Coturnix japonica: one gene and its partner. The protein of the gene in region 1 binds, or shares a complex with, the protein of each later gene. Links are inferred from orthologs where the notes say so. Each region holds a gene or a part of one and is shown on either strand. Other genes may lie near its edges.

Region 1 (4,278 bases):
CATATAAATAGGATCCCAGTTTGATTTCCCAGCCCTGCGTGCTGGTCTGGCTCTGATTCCACACATAACCCAGGATCTTTGCCTTCTGCTCTGCTCACCTGGCAGCAAGGAGGTCCTTCCCTCCTGCAGCAGTGTGGGTGAGTAGCAGTGCTCAGCAATGAATCTGAGTCCCAAGGAGAGGGACGATGCTGGCTGTTTAGTGATGCTCCATCCCATTCCTCACAGATACTGCAGGGGAAATAGGAAAAAACCCACTCTGAAGTCCCTACATATGGATGCAAAGTGGCTTGGATACAACACAGGCTCCCAGTTTTCCTGGGAAGCTGGAGAAAGCAGAATCTCACGGCTCTTTGAAGTGCACGCATTCATAGTGTTCAAAGCCAGAAGTGGACACGTTGTGCTCTGGCACTGACACACCCAATGATGAAGGCCGTGCTGTGCAGTTCCAGAGTGGGCTGCTTGGCCCCAACTGCTGCAGGATGCTGCGTGGCAGCGGCACTGTTTTTCCTGAGCAGACCTTCAAGCTGCCAACCCCAACTCCTGCATTTCCTGCCATTGTTGCAGTGTTCAGAACTCTGTGTCTCTGGATAAGATTAACCTTTGTTTTATTTTATTTTATTGTGGTTGTGCCCAGTGTGAAACAGCTCCAGGTAAAAATGCAGTCCTAGTTTCAAGCAAAAGCCTTTTTATTATTGCCATAGTTTTCTTCTCAGCTGCATCTTATTCATCACAGGGAGAAGCAGCTCGCAGGCTCCTAACCACTCCAGAGACAAACAAAACCTGAGCCTGTTCCTAACAGCCAGAGCATCATCCATCTCCAGCTCTGTTTCCCAAGCTGTCACTGTACTATCTGTAGCAGTGCTGCAATTTCTTGTTGGGAAATGCCCGTGTTAGTTTGTGCAGTACTTACACTTCAACCCAAATCAGGCTGGTGTATGATAGTGCAAATCCACCCCCCACCCCGTTTGCATTTATCCCCAGCCAGAAGGTGTTCTGCTGCCTGGGAAGGAGCACAAAAAGAGGCTCTGCACAGCAGAGTTGTCTTCAGGAAATCAATTGCACTGGAAAATGCATCGTGCCTGGAGCACTGGTAACCAGGAGGGAACTGCAGAGCTGTTTGGGAGCCTTAGTTCATCCCTAGCACCAATGTATAAAGGCATTAAAGACATACATTAAAGATTTTGGAGGGTGTTACACACCAGCTGTGCCTGGAGGATGACCCTCAGCACATGGCTAACTCACGCTCCTCACTTTTTGCTCTGTGCCACCACAGACTGCCAGGCTTTGCCCAACTTCTGTCCTTGGCAGAACACACATGGGATGCTGTTCTGCTGGCTGCTCTCAGCCATCCAGCAGCACCCCCAGAAAGCTGCTGGGGAAGAAAGCAGCTCACTTGTACTGGCTGCAGCCCAGCAAGAGCCATCCATGGGACTTCCCTCCCCTTTCACTCCCCGGTAATAAAATCCAGGTGGTTTTATGAAATTCTGTGGCTCTGCAGGCAATGCAACAACATGCAGTTTAAGCATCACTCTGAGGTCCCCAGCACCTGAGATCAAGAACCAGGAAAGGGCTCCCGCAGTGCATCCAACAGGCATGATTTAGTGACGTGACCATTCTGTGCTAAGCAGTGAGCTAAATGAGGAGGTTGGAAAAGGAATGGACTGCTCTGGAGATGAGCTGGGAAGGGAAAGGATATAAAAGTGGCAGAAGTGCAAGCCCTGTATGCACTACCAACATGCATTAATGGGTTACAAGAGCCTTTTTATGAGCTCTTTTGGCAGAGCTGAGAATGGATTCCCTACAGAGGATTCCCTGAACCACCTGCAAACAGGTCAAGGAAAGGGATTCTATCTCAGTCTCCTTTATTGAACAGAGCTCCATTTGAATTGCAGTGCTTTCCCTGGCCAGATATCAGGCGGAGCTGAGCACAGTGTCCAGGCAGAGGCAATGTGGGAAGCAGCACAGGGTGCAGGGAGGGGTTGGGTGCTCACCTGTCCAGGGCGATGGCTGTCATGGAGTAGATGCTGGCAAAGACGGCAGCGATGGGGAAGAAGTTGTGAAACTTGCAGTAGAGCAGCCCGTAGTACCATTCATTGTGGATGGCGTAAGTGAAGTTCACCACCGTGTTGAAGGCAGACATGGAGGCTTCAGCAAAAGCCAGGTTCACCAAGAAGTAATTGGTGACGGTGCGCATCCTCTTGTGTGCCAAGATGATCCACATCACCACCACGTTCCCCACCACCGACACCACCACGATGAGGGTGTAGGCAATGGCCCATAGGGCCACCTGCCACGGGGGCTGGATGAATTGGTTGGCATAGGACTCGTTCAGGGAGGCATTGAGCAGCCTCCGCTGCTCCAGCTCCGCTTCCAGCGGCGGGGTGTCATTCATTACAGCGTGGTACTGCCAGACCAGGCACGAGGATGCTTCGGGGCTCAGAGCCCTTTGGGTTTAGGGTACAGCAGGTTCGGTGGGGAGGATGCTTCAGGGCACAGCACTCTCTGGGATGAGGATGATTCGGGGAGCAGCGCAGTCTGGGTTTGGAGGTCAGGATGCTTCTGGGTGCAGCAGGTTCAGGGGTGAGAATGCTTTGGAGCACAGCACCGTCCTGGATAAGGGCACGGCTGGCTCAGGGCATGCAGAAGGTTTGGGGCACGAAGGTAGATCGGGGCGCAGGACCCTCCGGGTTCAGAGCACAGCCACGTCGGGGTTTGGGACCCTCCCGGTTCCAGGCGCAGCTGATTCAGGGTGCTGATCCTTTCCTCTTCTGGGTGCAGCCGCAGCAGCGTGTGTATCCATGGCAGAGCACAGCCGTGTCGGGATGGCAGCCCCCTCTCGCTGTGCAGGGACGCAGCACGGCCGGGCAGCGTTCCCCACCTTCCAGTCGCTTCGGTTCGGTCCGGGCTGATGCTGGAGCGGGGCCGGGACCCTCTGGGCGCAGCCGGAGCTCGGATGCTGCCGCTGCTTTTGTAGGCGGCGCGGGCGGTGCCTGAGAGCGGGGAGCGGAGCCGGGAGCCCAGAGCCCTCCCCCGCTCCCCCCCCAGCTGCCCCTCGCCCCCTCCTCACCTCCCTCTGCTGCGTTCGCCTCTCCCGTTCACCCCAGAGCTTCCGTACTGCCAGTGGACAGGCGGGGGTGGGGGATCGATCCCAACGGCTTCACACAACCAACGAAAAACGAAAACCCAACCCAAATATTTGACTTTCGTAATGAGGTCTTTGATTTTCTTGCCTAAAGCAGCGCTAACGGGGCGGTCCGGCTCTGTGCCCCTTCCCTAATACAAAGCAAGGAAAGAGCTCCCGGGGGGTGGCAAATCCTTCCGAAAATTACCGCTGTCATTTGTACGTGGTTCATCTGCAGGCACTGAGCTCTCTGCCCCCAGTCCAGGTTTCTGACATCCACCAGACGGGGCTGATTTTAACTTACTCATCCAGTATCGTGTTATGGCCGAGCGTGGGCGCAAAGCGCACCGCTGTGTGCTGGGAACGATGGTTTTCCCTTAGGATGCACCGATGCAATGAAGACAAAAAGCACCTCTGGAAGCAGAGCTTTGCTAAAGGATGCTGCGGACTCCGATATCACCTGGGAACCGCTGGAAACCAACACTGCGAACCTCGGAGTGGGAACGGCATTGCTGCTCGTGTGTAGGGAGGATGCTCAGCTCGTAAGCTGAAGCAAGCAGGAGGGACTCCGAAAATCTTTAATTCTTGGCACAGGCTCCGCTGTTGAAGTGAGACGGAGCTTTTTAACGGCGGGACGGACGAACGAGGAGGTGGATTTCAGCTTAGAGCCGGAGCTGCACTGAGGGTCCCCTCTTCTTGCATCCGGACCGCTCGATGGCAGCACTGCCTAAAAATGCGGCAGAGGGACGGCTGAGCAGCCAGCCGGCTTGGGGAGGTTTGCTAGCGACTGTTTCCAACCTTTCCCTTCGCTGCTTTGGGGCATTAATGTGAATACGACCAAACCCCAAAGGAGGGGAGGCCCTGGCAATGGGGGACAGCTTCAGCAGCCACCTCAGTGCACCACAGCAAACCCTCTCCCATTCCAGCAAGTCCCTCTGTGCCCCACCTGATTAACAGCACCCCATTGCAGGGCACAGAGCCGTCACACCCATTTCTCCACCGTTTTCTCACTGGAAATAAAGAGGTGATGCATTATGCACATTCCTGTTGGAAAGAACCACCTATTTTCCCCTGTTCTGCTGCTATGTGAGGAACTGAAGTGCAACCTGAAGCAGGCTGCGGATGGGCACGTGTGTCATGGCATGGCCAGGCTGGGC
Region 2 (4,248 bases), on another chromosome or scaffold:
ACATCCATTTTGATGAACTGCTGGATTACAGAAGAGAGGACTTGCCAGTTCAAACATATCATACTGATCATAGCTCAGACTCCTGGCTGATAGAACTGACTTCAGAGGAAGCTGGGAACTCCTGGTACTTCTGTAAAACACAAGGTCTTCAAGAGGAGTGTAGATGTGACACTGAGGGAAATGGGTTAGTGGGCATGGTGGATGGTTGGATTCAATGACCTTAGCAGTCTTTTACAACCTCAGTGATTCTCTGACACTCACAGGATTGTCAAGCCTAGTGTGATATACCAAACATAATGGACATGGTGGAGAGAGCTGGAGTTGGACTAGATGATGTTTGTGGTCTTTTCCAACTTTAATTATTCTATGGTTCTATGTTCCTCAGCCACTGAGTCGGGCAGCCCCCATTAGCTGTGGAGGAACTGCATCCTTCTTCCCTGATCTGCTGAGTCCTGGGGGCTACCCCAGTGTTGGGAAGAGGGTTCCCAACAGCACACCAGGCTGTGCTTTGGGAAATACTTTGGAAATTGGGGAGTGTTTCTGTTGAAGAGGGAGGCCTGGAGTTAGCAGTCAAGGTGCTGGGTCCCCAGTTGGCCCTACGATTACCTTCCAGTTAAGTGTCCTTGGAGAGGAGGTTTAGCACTTCAGCGGGAGCACCTTGCAGCGAGCAGAGGGACGGTATCAGGGAGCTGATTTCAGCACTCGAGAGATCTTTTCTTACTCAGAAGTACTGTAAGCTCCTGACAAACCGCACAGAGCGCCCGATGCTGTGCTATGGGATGGCCGCAGGTAGGGAGCACGTCCTGGAGAGGCAGGGAAAACGTTTGTCCCATCGGAGCGGCCAGAACCTGCGCACTGCTCCGTGCCCGTGTCCCCTCCTCTCCGGGGGCAACCCGGACCTGCACCGGGTCCCCGCGTCCCATCCCTACCCGCTGCTCGCCCTCCTTCAGCGGAGGTGCGGAGCGGCTCTCCCCTCGGGACGGGCTGAGGGGGAAGAGAAAAGCGGTGCCCTGTCCCTATACCAGCCCCCTATGCCCGCAGCCCGTGCCCGGTCCCTATATCCCCAGCCCCGGCCCCGGGCAGCCCCGGGAGGCGCGGCGGGAGCTGGGGGCGGGGGCTGCCGGCCGGGGCGGGGGCTGGCGCGGGGCTGGGACGATAAAAGCGGGGGTAATTGCATTTAGGCAAATGAGGCAGCCTCGGCCCTCCCCATCGCCAGGTCTATAAAGTGCGGAGCGCTCCCGCGGGCGGCCAATGCGCGGCGAGCAGCGCCCGGCTCCCGCTGCGAACGGTGCGTGTCCTTTCGTCCGTCTGTCTGTCCGTCAGTGTGTGCCTGCAGGCTGGAGGGTGCATGTCTGTGTGTTGGTGGGGGTACGTGCTTGTGGACTTCTATGGGTGTATGTCTGTATGATGTGTGGAGCTGCGTAGGAGAAGGAGTGCCTGCATGTGCTTGTGCGTCCACACCTGTGTGCTGCATGTGCAAGCCTGGCTTGGGGTGTATTTGGTGTGTGAGCATCCCTGGACAGAGTGTGTGTGGAGAGCTGAGTGTGCGTGCAGCTCAGGTGTGTGACAGGTGAGCTTATAACTGGGTGTACATGTACGTGGATAGGTGTGTGTGTGTATGTGAGGGTGTATCCAGCTGTGCACACATCTGTATGTGAAAGTGTGTGTCCATATAGCTCTGCCTTGGTCTGAGGATGGGTGCACCTCAATGTGTGTCTGTGTGCTGTGGTGCCCAGCTGCGGGGTGTATGCACACCCAGGGCTGCAAGTGTGTGTTTTTGTGTGTGTGATCTGTCCATGAGTGTGTACGTGTGTAGGTGTGCAGTGTACCCTGCAGGTGCTTACCCTGCACCCCACAGGACATCAAGGCGGCCATGAGGCTTCCGCTGGCTTTCACCGTGCTGCTGCTGGCCTCGGCACAGGCACTGGCTGACGAGATGTCCGCTCCCGATGACCTCAGCTACTGGGCAGACTGGGCTGACGGCGAGCAGAAGGTGAGCACTGAGGCTGAAGGGCTGGGTGGGTGCTGAGGGTGCTGGAGCTGTGCTGAGTGTTGCACTGTCACCCTGCAGGAGGAGCTGCCGCTGCCCCTGGAGCACTTCCTGCAGAGGATGGCAAGGAGACCTCGACCCCAGCAGTTCTTTGGCCTCATGGGCAAGCGGGATGCGGGTGAGCAGGGCAGGGCACCCCTGCATGCTTTGCCAGCACCCGGCCGCACTTCTCAGAGGTCCCCTTCCCTTCTCACACCTTATGTTTTTCTCCAGAGTTTCCCTGTTGATTGTTCAAGTTTAGTTTAGAGGTTTATAAGACAAACCCCCTCTCAGAAAGGAACGGCTTCAAGTTAAACCGCTGAGTACCCAGCAGTAAGGAGCGTGTTGGCATCTTGCAGGTCAGCCTGCGTGCCACTTGGTGCTCTGAGCATGGAAGCAGCTGCATGCACAGCTCCTTGAGCTGAGAGCTGCTCAGAGCCACCTGGCAGTGCATGGGTTTGTCTGACACAAGATTTTGTTGTCTCCTCAAAGAGAAATGCAACTGTAAACATCATCTTAATTTTCCTTGTGCCTCCGGAGTGTGCTTGGTGTAACTTCTGTATTTGATGCTTTAAAGTACTGCAGTAGCATCATATACATTTGCCTGGTTTTGGTCATTTATTTTTTTTCAATTACTCTTCCTTTTTTTTTCCTTTCCTTTCCACCTCCAACCAGGATATGGCCAGATCTCTCACAAAAGTAAGTTAAAAAAAAATGTAAATGTTTTAAATACTTATGTGAAGATACTCTGATGGAGAACAGCGCGTATCGGGGTGCAGGTGGCTGAGTTTAGCTGAGGAATGGCAGCAGCAGAGGTGGATCACTGCTCCACCCCACGGTCACGTCTCAAACCTGTACCCAATATAAGCCGCCACTCGCTGTGAGGTTTCAATCCACATTAAAGAGTGGATGCTGCAGCTCTGAATTTCTCAGGGGGCTCTATGAGCCTTTCTCAGAGGCGAGGCGGGCTTGCTGCCAGGCTCAGAGAGAAGCAATTAAGACAGCAAACTCTGAAAGATTAGAATTGCGAATTCCCAAATCCCTGAGAATGATTCCAGGGATAAGCGAGATGCCGTGAGGTGCTCCCTGTGCTGTCTGGGTGTGAGTCAGCCCCAATCGCAGCAGGGCTGGCTGCTGATCTGCCCTGCAAACAGGAGCAGCCAACACGAGCAGTACGTGTTCTTTGCTTTGTGTCTGTGCCACACCGAGTGGGAGGTGGTGTCAGCAGTGTGCTGTAACCTGCTTGTGCACAAGGACAGGTGTATTCTCTATAGGAGGATGCTTAGATAGGATATGGAAGAACCTAACCAGTTTAAAAATCATTTTCTTGCTTTATGAGAGCTCCTCTGCCCGCAGAGGTCAATAAGTGCTCTGTTCATCACTGGGATTATTTATTGGAAGACCAATTAAAGAGTCAAACACCCTCCTGGCTAAAGTAAAAAAGAACTGCAGCCTTCTGAAGCTGCTTCAGTGCCTGCGGGGGCTGAAATTGTTCCACTGGGCCAGTAGATGAAGTAGCCAGGCAAAATTCTTCCCAAAGAAAAATCTCTGTTTGCCTCAAAAGTCAGCTTAGAGAAAGAAGAATTGCTCCTTCTCCATCCTTACCTGAACTACAGCAGTTGCCACATCTGATACGTGCCAGAGGCCAAAAGCTGGAGTAATTTATCCTCTATAAATCCAGTGGCTTGAGTGCTAACGGAACAGGAAGGTAATAAATATTGCACAAATAGAGCCGGGCTGTCAGAATTAGACATGGCCAGACAGAATCCCACTGGTTCCATCTCTAGTAAAGCTCTGCCTGGTTGATGAGGAGGGTTTGACACCTGCAGGTAGAGTAGGTGCATCGTACAGATGAAAGCTCTGGCAGGACATTGCCTTTAACAAGGCTGACCAAAACTGTATTAGGAAAGGAGTAAGAATTAGTTATTGGCCGTTGATTTTCTGTTGTATTTCAACAAAGAAGTAACACTTGTCAATGTGAGTCAATAATCAGTGTTCGTTCTCTATGCTCTGAGAGTGACATGAAAAATAAGTAGGTGAGATGAATGGTTTTGAAGTCTGAGTCTTTTTTCCTTGTGAGAACACGTCTTAAGAGCTTGCCTATTTAAAATGCATTAAAACACCCCCAAATATACTTTTTTCAGGGCATAAAACAGACTCTTTTGTTGGACTTATGGGCAAAAGATCTTTAAATTCAGGTATGTATGCAACTGAATCAG

The links.
Region 2: the proteins of TACR1 (region 1) and TAC1 are in contact, whole or in part, in a cryo-EM structure (PDB 7P02), measured with the Homo sapiens proteins. The link is inferred for Coturnix japonica from reciprocal best matches to the Homo sapiens genes TACR1 and TAC1. Residues at the interface, in NP_001049.1 of Homo sapiens: Gln24, Phe25, Asn85, Asn89, Tyr92, Ala93, Asn96, Trp98, His108, Asn109, Ile113, Gln165, Met174, Arg177, Val179, Cys180, Met181, Ile182, His197, Val200, Phe264, Phe267, Phe268, Tyr278, Leu279, Ile283, Gln284, Tyr287, Met291; in NP_003173.1 of Homo sapiens: Lys60, Pro61, Gln62, Gln63, Phe64, Phe65, Gly66, Leu67, Met68.

Annotation. Positions count from the first base shown.
Region 1 is NC_029537.1:1,181,958-1,186,235, forward strand, and holds the start of TACR1 (substance-P receptor), read right to left. Parts: upstream 3,026-4,278; 5' UTR 2,393-3,025; coding exon 1,992-2,392; intron 1-1,991. UniProt on the Homo sapiens protein: This is a receptor for the tachykinin neuropeptide substance P. It is probably associated with G proteins that activate a phosphatidylinositol-calcium second messenger system.
Region 2 is NC_029517.1:22,503,041-22,507,288, forward strand, and holds the start of TAC1 (protachykinin-1), read left to right. Parts: upstream 1-1,169; 5' UTR 1,170-1,288; intron 1,289-1,325; exon of another isoform or gene 1,326-1,368; intron 1,369-1,858; 5' UTR 1,859-1,873; coding exon 1,874-1,993; intron 1,994-2,071; coding exon 2,072-2,168; intron 2,169-2,704; coding exon 2,705-2,728; intron 2,729-4,173; coding exon 4,174-4,227; intron 4,228-4,248. UniProt on the Homo sapiens protein: Tachykinins are active peptides which excite neurons, evoke behavioral responses, are potent vasodilators and secretagogues, and contract (directly or indirectly) many smooth muscles.